Linked DNA regions of Rhinolophus ferrumequinum. Each later gene encodes a partner of the first gene's protein in a complex. Links are inferred from orthologs where the notes say so. Each region holds a gene or a part of one and is shown in the gene's direction. Other genes may lie near its edges.

What was found.
Region 2: SPTSSA (region 1) and SPTLC3 share a complex: the UniProt entries of both Homo sapiens proteins name them as parts of the serine palmitoyltransferase (SPT) complex. The link is inferred for Rhinolophus ferrumequinum from reciprocal best matches to the Homo sapiens genes SPTSSA and SPTLC3.

What each region holds. Positions count from the first base shown.
Region 1 is NC_046289.1:82,805,437-82,812,720, reverse strand, and holds the start of SPTSSA (serine palmitoyltransferase small subunit A), read left to right. Parts: upstream 1-4,271; 5' UTR 4,272-4,350; coding exon 4,351-4,453; intron 4,454-7,284. UniProt on the Homo sapiens protein: Component of the serine palmitoyltransferase multisubunit enzyme (SPT) that catalyzes the initial and rate-limiting step in sphingolipid biosynthesis by condensing L-serine and activated acyl-CoA (most commonly palmitoyl-CoA) to form long-chain bases.
Region 2 is NC_046306.1:33,439,265-33,447,337, forward strand, and holds the start of SPTLC3 (serine palmitoyltransferase 3), read left to right. Parts: upstream 1-5,057; 5' UTR 5,058-5,295; coding exon 5,296-5,412; intron 5,413-8,073. UniProt on the Homo sapiens protein: Component of the serine palmitoyltransferase multisubunit enzyme (SPT) that catalyzes the initial and rate-limiting step in sphingolipid biosynthesis by condensing L-serine and activated acyl-CoA (most commonly palmitoyl-CoA) to form long-chain bases.

The sequences.
Region 1 (7,284 bases):
AGACACCACTTGGGGCCTGCTGGTGTCCGCCCTGATGCCCGTCTGAGCGAGACCTGGAGGTCCGCCTGGCCCGCGTTGCCATCCACAGTACCTGCCTCAGGTACCAACATCCCACCTTCTCACTCTGCTCTGGGATTTCCTTCTTCCAGACACATCCTTGCACTGAGCCCTCCCTGCCAACCCTATCTTGTGCCAGATTCTTTTTTTCCTCTACTGCCAATCTTTTTGTGAACACGTCACCTCATTCCCCTCCCCTGAGAAATAACCTACCCCCCCACCCCCCAACCAAGGGACTGGGGGTGAGTGGGGTTGGCCTTCTTCTTGCTCCCCGTTATGGCCTCCTAACCAAAACCACACACCTCTGGGCTTTACCCCTCTCTGTTCCTCTTCTCTCCTGAGCTTTTCCCCACGTTCCCTGAAGACGCTGACATTTGATCTGCAGACTTTTCCTCTCAGCTCCTAGTCTTGCCATCCTCCTGGACAAGTTCAGCTTTCAAGTGGTCAGCCTGTCTTTTACTTTCCTTCCACTCTACTTTGGCTGCCCGTCCCATGGTCACAGCCTATGCATGTCATTGCGGAGGTCCGGCGCATCTCTGTAATCTTGAACTTCAGACGCACATCCGTGGTTACATCCTCCAGGATGGAAGCTCTCCCACTTATCTACTCCTAGTTTCCAACCTCACACAGCTCTTGACTGCTCCATTTTCTCTCTTCTAGCATTTACTTCCTTCTCTGACCCAGTTCTCGCAGCCCTTATTTCAGTTTTTCTCTCCCTATCAACCTCCTTGCTTCTTTGTGTCTCCCTTGTACTCAGCCAGCAAGACTCCACTTTGGAGCAAGCCCCTTAATTCATCCTCTCCAGTTCTACCTATGGGTCCTTGTGGATTGCTGGTGAAAATTGTATAATTTTTCTGCCTGACAACACCTAAAGCAGCTTCAGGGAGCTTCTCTCACTACCCTTTTTTCTTTCCAAACCCTCTACCTCAACATCTTGCTCATTCTCAACAGAAGGCCTAACTTTAGAGAGGCCTTTCTTTTTCACTAAGGAAACTGAGGCTGTGAAGCAGGGAGTTCCTTAACTTACTCTTCCGTGTTTTTGTCCATCTGATTCCCACCTTTTCCATCCTCCCCTTCTTAGGAAAAGAGCTACTGGCTCCTGTTTATTAAGGCTTTAGGTCTGATGCCACCATTTTCACCCGTATCTTTACTCTAAGCCCATAAACTTGATCACATCTTTCCCATCCGAAAACCAAACCAAATAAAAACCTTTGCTACCATCCTCTCTCTCTTTCCCTTCAAAGGCAAGCTTCCGGCAAAGATAAGTCTCTTCTCACTTCCCACTTGCTCTTGAATCGGGTTTCTGCCCTTATCACGCCGCAGTGAGTGCGTCATCACTTGAGCCTCAGGTGGACGAGACAAACTGGCACTTCCCTTCCCCTTGCTTGTCCTCCCTGAACCGTTTGATCTGCTGGCCATTCCTTCCTCCCTTGGCTTCTCCCATACATCTCTCCTCTTTGCTATCAAATCTCAGTTCCTTCTGAGTGCACTTTATTGGCTCCCTTTAGATTCTCATCCCTTAAAAGCCAGTCTCTGGGTTTGTTCTGTACTCTGCCCATTCTGTGCTTTCCTGAGGTGACCTCATCTGCAATCAGGGCTTTAATTACCAGGGGCTTATTGAAAACTCATGCCTTTGGCTTCTGTTCAGCTTTCTCTTCTAAATTCTAGACCCCTATGACCAACTGTCCCCTGGACACCGCCACTTAAATGTCCTTCAGGTACCTCAAACTCAGCCTTTTCCTAACTGAATTTGTATCTTTTCAGCCAGACTTCTTCCCCTGGATTCTTCGTGAATATTGTCACGATCCAAGATCCCAGCCTCTTTCCCCCACCATTTTTCAGTCAGTTGCCAAGTCTAGCAAGATGGATTTTTGTTCACTAGAATCCCAGAGCAGCTGAGGGATGCAAATTGGTACGGCTGCTCTCCCAAAGAGATGCAGTGGACAGTGGGGGCCGTGTACCGTGGGATGGCCTAGTGAGCTGCCCGGGGACAGCAGGGTAGCTGTGCGTGATGCTTCCAATCTTGGGTTAACTTAACTAAGTATCACCAGGTGCTCAGGTACTTGAAGTTCTTGAATATAAAGGAGCAGAGCTTGCCTGTTCCTGAACAGATCTGAACAGAGATAGCTCAGTGAGGAACAGCGACATGGAGAAGCCTCACACAGTAAGATGCAGAAGTGGGAGGGCCAAGTGTACCTGGATCTCTCAAGGGTGAGGAGATCTTGAGTAAGTGTGGGTTACACATGTCCCACTGACAGGTTCTACCTGTGTCATGTCTTCTACCGGATCCTGTTTTCCTCAGTGGCCTCCAGGCTACTGCCTATCCCCAAGTCTTGTCCAAAATGCAAATCTTATTAAGCCATGGGCTCTTTTAACTTCTGGATTTCAAGTTAAAAATTCCTTAGCTCCTCACACAAGGTTCTTTAAGAAGCGGTCCCTCTTTACTATCTAGCCCCACCTCTTGCTACTGCCTACACATTCTTTTTTTTTTTTCAAGGAGAGCACAGCTCACAGTGGCCCATGCGGGGATCAAACTGGCAACCTTGGTGCTCCCTGGTGTCCCAGCACCATGCTCTAACCAACTGAGCTAACTGGCCACCCCTGTCTACACTTTCTTTACCTTCTTTTTGCTTCAGCCGTGAGGAAGTTCTTCCAGCCCTTTAAATGCATCAGGCCTTCATGCTCCTGTGCTTGGAATATCTGCGTCCCTCCTACCCCCACCTATTCATTCTGCCATTTCTACTTTTCCTTCAATATTCAATTTAAGATCACTTTCCAGAAGCCTTTTACAACCCCAATCTGATTTTCTCTGGGCTATTGTGGCATCCTACATATAACGTAAAAATACTTTTTACCACATCTCATTGAAATCTGTTAACTTGCCTCTCTTCCCTAGTAGACTGGGTACTTATAAAGACAGATCTTAGTCTGGCTTTCTATATCCAATGTTTAACTCATGAACAGCACTTGATATTTCTAAATGAATAAATAAAACATCAACCATGACAGTTTTTTTTTTCCACAGTTTTTTTTGGGGAGTATTGGGGAACAGTGTGTTTTTCCAGGACTCAGCAGCTCCATGTCAAGTTGTTGTTTGCAATCTAGTTGTGGAAGGCACAGCTCATTGGCTCATGTGGGAATCCAACCCACCACCCTGAGGTTATGAGCACTGCGCTCTAACCACTTAACCAACCAGCCGCCCCACCATGCAAGTTTTAAAGTTTAAACAGTAAGCTGTTTAACCTAGAAACCTTTCAACATTTAAACAGCAGGCCATTTAGTCGTGTCATTTCACATGCTAATCATGCATCTCATTCCTGAAGGTGAGTGCAATGTTGCTGGCCCACTTGCCAGTGGGAAAATCTGGACATTCCAGAATGCATGTCCAGGAATTATCAGCCCACAGACAGGTCTCAAGCATCCTGTCATCTGCAGAACCCACCAGCTCAGTACCCTTCTCCTGGCCTTGACCTTACGTAGTGCCTATAGCCACTAAAAGAGGTGGGCAGAGAGACATATTCATGGTCATCTCTGTTATGTCTTTAGGTTAAGGAGTGTATGTTGGTCTACTCGTATGTGGTGTTTGTGTGCCCGCGCGTGGGGGAGGGAGGGAGTGAGGGAGGAAGGAGGCAGCGTGTGCATCCCTTCAGAGACGCCTTTCCTTGACTAGGTGACATTCTCCTGTCCACCCTCTCTGAGCACCTTATTCTCCCCCTCTGGGCCCATCACAGCTTTACTTGAATTCGTGTCATTAATACCTGTCTCGCCGGTAGATTGTAAACTGCACGAGGATAGGTACCTCACACGTTCCTGTTCACTCCTGTGTTCCCTCTGCCCAGCAGGATGCCCGAGGCATCACAGGTATTCCACAAACACCTTCTCCCACCAGCGTTTCTGGGCCAGACTGGGTGGACCCCAGGCGGCACCACCGCCCGGCTCACCAACGGCCGGCGGAGGCAGGGCGGGGCGTGCTGCGCGCGGCGGGTGCTCTCGCGGGGACAGTTCTCTGGCTCGCGTGGGCGCGGCCCGGGGAGGGGGAAGTGTGGAGGGGGCGGGTACGACGCGGGGCCGCGGGCTGGCCAATGAACTCCGGCCGGGCGGGGCTCGGGCCCGGCTGCCCGGGCCATCTCCGGGCTAGGCGTGCCCGCCGGTGACGCACCGGGCGGTGCGGGCCAATGGGCGCGGGCTGGCGGGCTGGCAGGCGGGCCTCGCGGGCGGGGGCATTAGGACACCAACGGGAGGCCTGCCGGACAGACTGACATTCGGCTGCAACGCAGGAGGCACGCGGCCGCGATGGCGCTGGCGCGGGCCTGGAAACAAATGTCCTGGCTGTACTACCAGTACCTGCTGGTCACGGCGCTCTACATGCTGGAGCCCTGGGAGCGGACTGTGTTCAGTATCCTGCCCGGGCCGTGGGCGCGGGGGTCGGGGTGGGGGGTTGGGGGCCTGAGCGGCATCCTTCCGGGCCCAGGGCCTGGGGGGCGGGGAACCGAAGGCGGAGAGGCGGACCGGCGGGAACCGCGCGCGCGGACTCGCTTTTCGCGGCGGGCACGCGTGGCAGAGGTCTCGTGGGCCGAGGGCGCGCTCCCGCGGTTGGGAAGGCCGTCAGGGGGCGAGGACTCTTGAGATCCCAGGTCGCCTTTGAGTCCTTTGGCCCAAGGTAGAAGCGTCTTTATTGCTGGAAGAAATCCCCTAGAGCGATGTCTAACGTGGCATGCCGTCGCTTGCACTTTGGCCGCGCCTGCCTTTGGTTCAGTCCCCTGTTTTCTGTGGGAGGCAGGGACCGTGTAAGGGGAGCAAATCGCTACCGGCTTGGATGCCTTTGACCTTTAACTGTCCCTGATTTAGCTGGCTCCGGTCCTAAAGAGAATGCTAAGTTTTCCAGCTTTTTAATTAGGTTGTGAATTTGTGTTCATGACAGCCCAATTCAATTTTTGAAAAGAGCCTGTTATTGTACCTATTGTATCTTCAAGATGGGTAGTTTAAAAGTGGTTTGTTTTTTTTTTACCCCCATTAATTTGCTGTCCGTGAAATCGATCCTGAAGAGGAATTTGTGGTTAATTGTAGATGGTGTTTGCAATTTTTCGTAGATAACTAGTACTTGTTAATGACTATTACGTGTGTGCTATGAGCCAAGCCAACTGTGCTAAGCATTTTCCCTGTATCTTAACTCATCTAACTTTCATAACGACTGAAATTAATAACTCAAGGTTGTGAAAATGGGATGCCTGAAGTCTGTGATGTTTGTCTCTCCATTTGTCTATGTAGACATCTCTTGATATTCTTGCAAAATAAATACTAGTCATGAGATGTAACTTTTTTTTTTTTTTTTTTTTTTTTAACTTGGGGGCCAGTGTGAAACAAGTATTTCACACAGCATACTTACTTCATACAAGATCTCTCCTTTTCAGTTCGGTTTAATTTGGAGTAGCTTCAGAACAGCTTTGCAAATGCGTAGTTGCATTCTGGTGGAGTGACTGAGGTAATTCATTTCAAGCCTTCAAAGTGTGTTTATTTGTGCTGAACTAGCATGAGATTGTACCTACAGCTGAGTCTTGTGTTTCAACACTGGAAGAATCTTAGCTGCTTACAAGGAAAGTTATTTTTGTTGTAAGCATTTCTTTCCAAACCTGGAATTTAAGAACCAGGATGCACATTTTGGATTTAAAATCTGAATGTAAAATATTCTCTGATTTCCTGCACCAGTTATTTGTAGCTGCAGTTTAGTCTTACGCTAAGTTCTGTAGGTGAGAGCTCATGAGGTCATCCTTGTGAAATGGATACTGAAATACAGAAGCACATACTTCTTGATTTAGTTAATTTAAACTCATCTTAAAAGTGACTTTAAACAATGTTGTGCTAAATTGAAACTCTTTAAATCAGAAGTTGAGCGCAGAGCCCACTGTCAGGGTCTACTACAGTAGTCGCTCCTTTTATCGGTGGTTTCGCTTTGTACCGTGTCAGTTACCTGTGGTCAACCATAATTCAAAAATACTAAATGGTAAATTTCAGAAGTAAAGAATTCATAAGTTTTAAATTGCCCACTGTAATGATATCTCACCTTGTCCCACTTGGGATGTCACTCATCCCTTTGTCCAGTGTATCCACTCATCTCTTATCAGAGAGAGAGAAAAACCACATTCACAGAACTTATTACAGTATATTGTTATGATTGTTTTATTTTATTATTGTTGTTAATCTCTTACTGTGCCTAATTTACAAGTTAAACTTTTTCATCGGTATGAATGTACAGGAAAAAACATAGTATATATATGGTTCCGTACTATCTGCGGTTTCCCGCATCCACTGGGGGTCTTGGAACAAATCCCCCACAGATAAAGGGGGGCTGCTGTATAGATTTTACACTTAAAAGCTTTTATTGGCATGTAGATGTATGCTATAGAATCACTGGTGTTATGGTTTTTATGTATTATGTTGCAGTAGTAATAGTGTCCCATAAATACTAGGTAATGGCTTTTTTTGGATTGGAGAAATAAGTTATGAAATGAAACGTAGTGCCTTTGTAGATTTTTGCCTTTGAAGCTTTTGACTTCTCATTGCGTTACATGACCAAAAGATTTCAGTTTTTAAAAAAACTAGTGAGAACTGCAGCCAGCTAGCATTGGGTACTATAGAATCCTATGGTTTTAAACCTAAGATTAAAAAAAAATTATTTCAAAGTTCATATCATTGAATTAACTCGGTAGAAATGCAATCCTTTGACATAAGCCAGTCTTAAATTACTATCAGCTATTGTATTTATATTATTTCAACTCAACTTACAGAGTTATTTTGAAGTCAGACATTTAATTCTATGGTTTGAAACATCAATTTGAGATTGAATCCTCATTCTAGCTTGGCGGAAAGAACTGAATGAGAAAGCTGGATTTAAAAAATTTTCTTTTCTACTTAATGGGGAGCTTTAATTACTGCTAAGTAGTTTGAATTTCATAAATTCATTAATAATTAGTAAGCTTCACCCAGAACTAGCTTGCGGCCAGTTACATGGTTTTAGAAAGACACATTCTTAAAAATTACATTGAACATAATCATCACTGCTAGAAACCTAAAATTTATTGTAGGAGAAATGTGTCTGGCTGTCTGAAAAATGGTCTTTGATTTAGAAGTCCTGGACAGAGAAAGACTCTGGAAGATAAATGCATTAATTTGCATTTCACTGCTCTAATTCCTTTAATAATTTGAGGTTGTCCCTATTTTAGGGAAAAC
Region 2 (8,073 bases), on another chromosome or scaffold:
GGTAAGGGGGGTGGGGGGTGGTAGATGAGGGTAAAGGGGGATCAAATATATGGTGATGGAAGGAGAACTGACTCTGGGTGGTGAACACAAAATGTGATTTTTAGATGATGTAATACAGAATTGTACACCTCAAATCTATGTAACTTTACTAACAATTGTCACTCCGATAAATTTTAATTAAAAAAAAAAAGAAAATTTCTCCATCCCAAGGCACCAGAATCATCTCATGATTTACCTCCAGGGTCAAGTCATTCCAGGATGGATTTACTCTATATGTGTCTGGAACTAAGTAGGGTTTTAATTCATATCATGCCCAGCAGGGTTATAAAATGACCCAGTCACACTTAGCAGTCCAAAAGAACTGCCTAGCAAAGTAAGAGACAGGCTACACCAATGTATCAGTACCTCAGCCTCACCTAAAGAATATACCTGTTCCTTAGAGTTGGGTGATTGTATTTTCAATCCTGGCAATACTGAAGTTAATAGGGAGATGATAAAGAAAATCAATCCCATAGTAGTAATATTTGCTTATTAAGTTTAGGAATAATCTATGTGTGCAAATGAACTGTAAAATCTATATAATATTAATGATACTTTCACATAGCAGTCTTGTAATTTAAGTTAAAATATGTAAGAGTATTAACTAGTTTATAGACAGTATTGAGATATTAAGAAGAATTTGATTTACCATATATTATATGGGTTGATTTTGTGCTTGGCAAAATTTTGCTTATTAAGGCTACAAATTTCCTTAGTGTCCATTTCAAGTACTTAAAAGGAAAGAAAATATATCCAAGTGTTTTTATGTTTTAAATTTTAAAGATGTTTAATTAGCTAAGTTTTAAATGTTTTAAGACAAAACATTAACCAAGTCCATAAATGGCGATGTTTTCTATAAGGAAAATTTAGCCTATTCATCTTATGTTAATCAAATATCAATCAATTAACAATCACAAAAGTAATTGTTCTTCTTTCATACAGAAGTTACAACAAGATTTACAGATGGAACTTAACTAGGGTGTCAATTTTGTAATTTAATGTGCCAAATATTAATTTAAAACCCACCTAAGTAAATTATCATTGCTTTGTACAAATACCCTCCCCCCTCCAAAAAAAAAAAAAGAAAGTCAGTTTGACAGAAATAAAAATATTTTTGGATTAACAAAATCAGGTACCTTGACTACGAAATATAGGGGCTTCAAGAAGTTCAACCCCAAGCATCTGAAACAGCAAGGTAATAATAGTGGCTCTTGAATACTTCTTAGAAGTCCCTGGCTCTGTATTTTGAAAATCTGAATCCTGAACTTTTTTTTTTTTAATAGATGTTCAGTTTTGTAGGCAAAGAGTTATGATGTCCGCAGGGAGGGTGAAACTCTGTGTTTTGCTCAAGGGCATTCTGAAGGTAATTGCTACTACAAAGACTTGCAGAGACACTACTCCCTGGAAGATTATATCATGAAGAAAAGCAGAAATATTCCACTGTTGCTGGCCTTGAGGTAGTAGTCATCAATAATGTGTTTTGTTGGGGTTTTTTTCTAACTTAAAATAGCATTGCTGTACTTTTAACCCATGTTTAGAAAGAAAGAAAAAACCTATCTGACATCAAAAATATAAGTATCTGGCCTCCTGTTGATAAGAAAGTCTTTTGAACTGAATTATTTTTACACTGAGAATTTTCCAGACTGAATTTTTTAGAAAATTTAACTATTTCCCTGTAGAAGTATCCCAGACTATAAAATCCAAGTAGATTTTAAGATGTTATTAGATCTTTGCTTGTATTTAATAGATGACAGGATTTTAATGGATCAGAAATACAAAATAAAATATTTTTACTTATTATTTGGCTAATTCAAAGAAATTTCCCAAATCATAACAGTTTCTGTTATTTTTCTTCTTGATTGATATTCTCAAGACAACAGCGGAAGGAGAGATATCATGGTATTAGGGAAAGAGGACTTGCTCTGGACTCAAATTCTAGAGTTTATGACCAACTCCTGGCATATATTCTTGTGGCTTTGGAAAAGTCACTTAACTTGTTGGAACTTTAGTTTTTGCATCATCATTACTCTCCATTACGTAAGTAAAGATTGATTCACTGAATAGATTTATAGACACTGTACAATTCTGACAATGTATTTTGCTCATTTCCTCCCTTTTTTGTCAATTTTCTGTTTCCAAATGGTTCCCGGAGCTTTTTCACAATATGTTACCAAGCTCTGAACTTCCCTTTCTTATTTATCCCTAGAAGCTGACATCTGGCAAAAGTGTCCCTTCAGGGACTACCACAAGGCCATTGTTAACTAATTTGGTCTTTGTCCTTAATACAATAATAAACAGGTTTATGTTTACCTTCAATAATGAGAGATCTTGAGTAGAAGATATGCAGGTGCTATTAACGCTCAGTTTTCTGTGAAGGTGAAGACTGCCTGAGTCTTGTTCACTGTTGTATTGAAGGACTTAGCAAATAACCTAGGACATAATAGTTATTCAAATATTTGTTGGATTTACTGGTTGATCTGAAATACATTTAGTTATTCCTAGACAACAAATCATACTCAATTGCAGTCTGTTTTAATGTTGATCGATGTCGTAGACATTTTGGGTTACTATAACAAAATACCATAAACTGAATAGCTCATAAACAACAGAAATGTGTTCCTCATAGTTCTGAAGGCTGAGAAGTCCAAGAGCAAGGAATGGAAAGATTTAGTGTTTGGTGAAGACCCACTTCCTAGACTGGTGTCTTTTTGCTATAACCTCACTTGGCTGAAGGGACAAGGGAGCCTCCTGGGCCTCTATTATAAAGCACTAATCCCTTCATGAGGGCTCTACCTTCCTGACCTAATTACATCCCAACAGCCCCACCTCCTAATACCATCACCTTAAGAGTTAGGGTTTCAACATATGAATTTTGGGTGACACAAACTGTCAGACTATAAGAGATCAATATCCTTACACTCAGAGCTACCACTCACTCAAATTGACCTCCACACTTATTTTCACTGGAGATGATATAAAACAAGGAGCCACCATTGATTATGCATATCCATAGTATCTAATGCTGAATGGTTGTTGTGTTAAGAAGATTTTGTGCACACAGCAGTTTACATATTCCAATATGGCAAGTAAAGGAGAAAAGTTTCAAGAGTGAGAACATGTGGTAGATATTTCCTGAAGGTCTATGTGTAGTCGTTTCACCTTGGCTATTGGGATTAGGAAAAAAAAAAGTGAAGGAAATTTCAACTGCTTTTTGAGATTTTTTTCTATATATGGTTGTGTCCCCTTGTAAAAAGAAAATAAAGAAAAACAGGAAGAAAACGAGGAGGGGGGAAGATTGGAGAATAGGGAAAGGGGGAATTCAACAGAAGAACTGGAAGAAGGAAGAAGAGAATAAAAGAAGGAGAGATAAAAATATCTAATGTTCAGAATTTAGTTTTATCTCAAAATTCTCATTTGAAAAATAACTTTCTACAGGTCATTAGAGGTCAGTCAACATAACAATGTCTTCAACTTGTCTTTCCAAGTAAGCTGAGGTAGTCAGGCCAACCAACAGTTACCAGGGTTCCCACCTACCTTTCCATCTCTCTTTTGTATAAGTCTAGAAGGAAATAAGCCAACAACACTGGTTTAGCTCCCATCCCAGTTAGAAGTCACAGAAGAGAGAGACCAGTGAAAAAAATCTAGTTCTGCTCTGATGACAATGGTTGGAAGAGATGCAATAAAATTCTGAGATTGAGACACAAAAGGGTGGGCATACTTGGCATTAACTCCATCCTGTTATTTAACCCAAGACCTTATTCCTTCAGTTCTCCCCGGGATGGGAAAAATGGGAACCCTCACATGTAAATCAAGGTTAGGAGAAGCATTACGATCACTTCCTCTGTAAGCCACCTCTTGCTGGAGGGGACACAAACCCTGTACAAACCCAAGAACCAGGAAATGAGGCTTTGAAAACAGGAGCCATTCCTGTCTTTTTGTTTTTGTTTTTGCTTTGTTTGTTTTTTTCCATTGACCCATTAAATGGTTTTCTTTTCTAAGTGCCTGATGTTAAAGAAGTCTTAGTTCAGGAGAACCATGAGGGTGGGCTTGGGAGAACTCAACAGGCTGTAAGTGATTATCCAATAATACGTATCAGCTCAATGCCATTTGATGGTGACAGGAGAAGATAAGCCTTTGGTGACTGGTGCACTGAGAGAATCAGAGTTAATAAGTAAACCAGAGCTGCTCGAGACTGAGACACTGCAGTCACCGTCTGATTCACAGTACCTGTGTCAGTAACAAAGCCAAGCCATGGTTTTATTTTCCTACCACCCCATCATACATTAGCTCAAAAAATGTGTCTTATTTCATTTTACAGGCAGAGAAACTGAGGCGTAAAAAAGAGAAAATAGCTTCTCAAAGATCATGCGACAGGTAATGCAGCCATGATGAGAAATCAAATATTCTGTCCCCCAGACTTCTGCCTTACAGCAATTCTTCATGAGTTGGTACCTCTCATTATATCACTGGCTTTAACATTAGGTCAAACATTAGGTGGGTTCTAAATACTTTTTTTGCCATTTTTGTATTATGGTAAAATCCACCTCACATAAAATTTCTATTTTAACCATTTTTAAGTGTACAGCTCAATGGCATTGAGTACATTCGCAGTGTTGTGCAACCATCGCCACCATCTAAGTGCCAAAACTTTTTCCGTCTTCTCCAACAGAAACTCATTAAATGGTAACTTCCCATTCTATCTTTCCTCTAGTTCCTGGCAACCACTCCTGAATGTTATTTTACAGCAAAGGGAAATGTTGACTTGGAGTTTCATTTACACCTAAAAAATGTAATTAGCTGCAGGAGGGACGGGGTGGGAGATATGTAAATTTGCAACTGTACCTCAGCAGAAGGTTCCATGTGAGTGGTGTGTGTGTGTGTGTGTGTGTGTCTTTAAAAGATTTTCCTCCTCCCAGCCCGCCCCCTCAGAGTTTGCCACTGGGTTTTGCAGTCTCCTGATTTCCTCAGTCCACAAGAGGAGCCAGCATGGGCAATCTCCTTTATAGTTTCAGGAACTAGTTTGTTGCCGTGGAAGCCACTTTCTGAGTTGAGGAGTAGAAAGGTAACTGTTTGTTTTTAGTTTCAAAGATCTGCTCAAAAGATAGACTATTGCTCTTCTTCTGGAAAAGCCTGATTGGTAGGATTCCTCCACGGTCTCAGCCCAAAGTGCTTTCTCCCATCCCCTCACCAACTTCAAAACTGACGCTTGCCAAGAACCGCTGGAGGAAAACCTGCTGGGTTCCATCATTTCACACAATGGTTAATTCTGGAGGTGGTACTGTTTGCAATGGGGATCTTCACAATCACAAAAAACAGCGTGTCGGCTTGCAAAGTGGAAACTGCACAAGGAATGGGATAGTGAAAGAAGCCCAGGTAAGAGGCAATCCCTCCCTGACTCTGAATGACCAGAACATTTCAATATTTCTTTGTAAAGCTCTTTGAAGCTGTCTTCACTGAAAATCCTTTTTTATGACGTGTTATGTGTTTTGACTCTTCCCTTCAGCTAATTTCAAATGCTTGGCTACCAAAGAGTTTAGCTGTGGGTTAAGGAGACAATTTCTTCTCTGTACAAGGGAGGACACACATTGGGTTTGTGTAAACCCTGAAAACACAAACATAGCTACGAGACTTTGTTTACTCTCAAGTATTCGGGGGCAGACTTGTGAAGGCTCAAACTTTTCAGCTAAATTTTAGTCCATCAAAAAATCATAATAGGCTACATTCATCACGTTTCATAAAAAAAAAAAAAGAGAGAAAGTGAAAGTAAATCTAAAATTGCTGAGATTTTGTGGTACGGATAGCATTTTTCTCCAGTGCGTGAGAAATGCCTCTCTGGGTGAAAGGTGAATTCTTTTTGGTGTTTAGTGGAGCATTGTCATAGCTTGCAGCTTGATTTTGGTCCCAAGTCTTTCTTTGAAACTTGACATCACAACATTCCTTTTGAAGACACTTCAGAAAGTGTGGCTTATTGTTAAAACCCTGCACACAGGAACCAAACAGACTTTGAATTGTTTTCCCATTTGATACTTTTTTTTTTTTTTTGGCTCCTGCTGTAACAGAATGTTTGAAGGGAATGTACTGAGGAGGAGAGGAACTCAAGAAATGTTGTCAGCTTATCCAAAGAGGGCGGTGGGCTCTGTGAGGTACTTGTAAAAAGGCAGCTCCCCATTTCCCATGAGATACCCTACCTGTCGGCAATGAGTAGTCAGGATGAGCTCACCTGCTTCAGAAGCACGTCAGCATAGCAAAACAGGTGGTTCCACTGTTGGGAAATGAAAAAAGTTGGGAAGAGTATCTATGTAGTCCTCCATCACTCATCCGTCCCTGGAAGACCAGCATCCGCCCAGGGAACAGCTTGTTCTAAGATCACAGAACAGGTTGGGCTGGCTAGCGGCCAGTCCACCACTCAGTGCATTAAATTTGTGAGTACAGTTGGAAGAAGTGAGGGGCAGGGTGGGGAAGAGTCTGGACCCTGGGTTGTGTGTGAATAGGCTGTGGTCCCCTCTTAACAGAAGGCATTACCTCAGTCTTAGAAGTGTCTACCTGAAATCTGAGGCTTGACCTCTCCCAGCTGAATATCTGAAACCTAGTGCAATGTAAAGAGAAAACACTCAACTCCTCCTATTAGCATGAGGGCAATCATAATAATACGCACCATCTATTTGTCACTGTGTCAATTCAGACTACAATCACTCAAGATGCTCTTTATCCCTGAAATGCCTAGGACACTAGCCACTCACCTACTTGCCCTCTGGACCATTCTGACCCTGAGGGCTCTCACTTGGGCAGAGACACTCTTAAAGCTATTCTTCTCTCTTTACCTTGGTTTTATAGCCACCTTCTAGTGTCTGAGGTTAGAAACTTACCTAGATGTTTACAGCTATTCCTAAATAAGGACAAAAGCCAGGATCTTAAAGGGTCATTACTAAGTGCTCCTACAAGACTGTAAGTAGCCTGGGACACTGAGGCTTCCCTGAGAGCAGCAGGTATTATCAAAGCTGCTGTTACCTTTTCCGACAGCTCTTTCTGAAGGACCATCCAGCACGTGTTGGGCTCAGATATATTTAGGTGTTACTAAGTTGGAATTGGCAACTACTGAGAGACTTGATTATTGCTTTAAAAATATTTTCCAGAAAGAATAAACCCTGCTGAGATCTTGGTGTAGCAGAGCAGACAAGGACCTGACTTCCCCTCCATGATGTGGGTGAAGTTGTCTTCACTATCACGATCCTCAGTTACTAGTTTTAATCCATTTTGCCTTGGGGTCCTTTAACAAACTGGGTCTTGACCAAAAACCTTGATAGTTGACAAGCTCTCCATAAAGGCTGACAGATGTGCTGGGCCAGCTGTCTTCCAAACACGTTCTGCCGGGCCTAGGGTCCTATGAAGCAGCATCTAGAGTCCTACTAGCACCTCTGAAGATCCCGTGACCCTTTATCTTCCAGCTTATTTGCAACCACTCAGCAACACATTTGTTTTTCATATATATTTGGGGTTCCTGTAAGATTCTGTTAACATGGAGTTCTCTGACATAAGAAAATAAGTAAATAAATAAATAAAACTGAAAATCACTGTTAGGCAATCTGTCAAGAGCCCTCCTTTCCTTTGTTCCAATGTAGCCTGGTTTCAACACTCTAGCCCTGGAGTCCAGGCTTACTTCCCCAACCTCAGGACTGGCAAGAGATCCAGATTCTTTCTATTTTGGAAACCTTCTAGTGTTCCTTTATGGAACTTTTTTGGAACTTGACTGTAGCGCCTGGGTTTTTGTTTTGTTTTGTTTTGTTGTTGTTGTTTTTCTCTTTGAACCTCATACGACCTGAGGATGCACTGATAATTGGTTTTCACCACTGACTAAGTCCATTTCTTTGTTCACTTCTAATATGTCATCCTGCCTCTTGTTCCTGACAGATGGAACCTCAGTCAGTAACAGAACACTATTGTTCTAGAGGATTTGTTCTTCTCCTCATGAGCATATCCACATGACAGAAGAGCCCTTAGCATCTTAATCCAAACTTGATATTCTTATCATTTCCA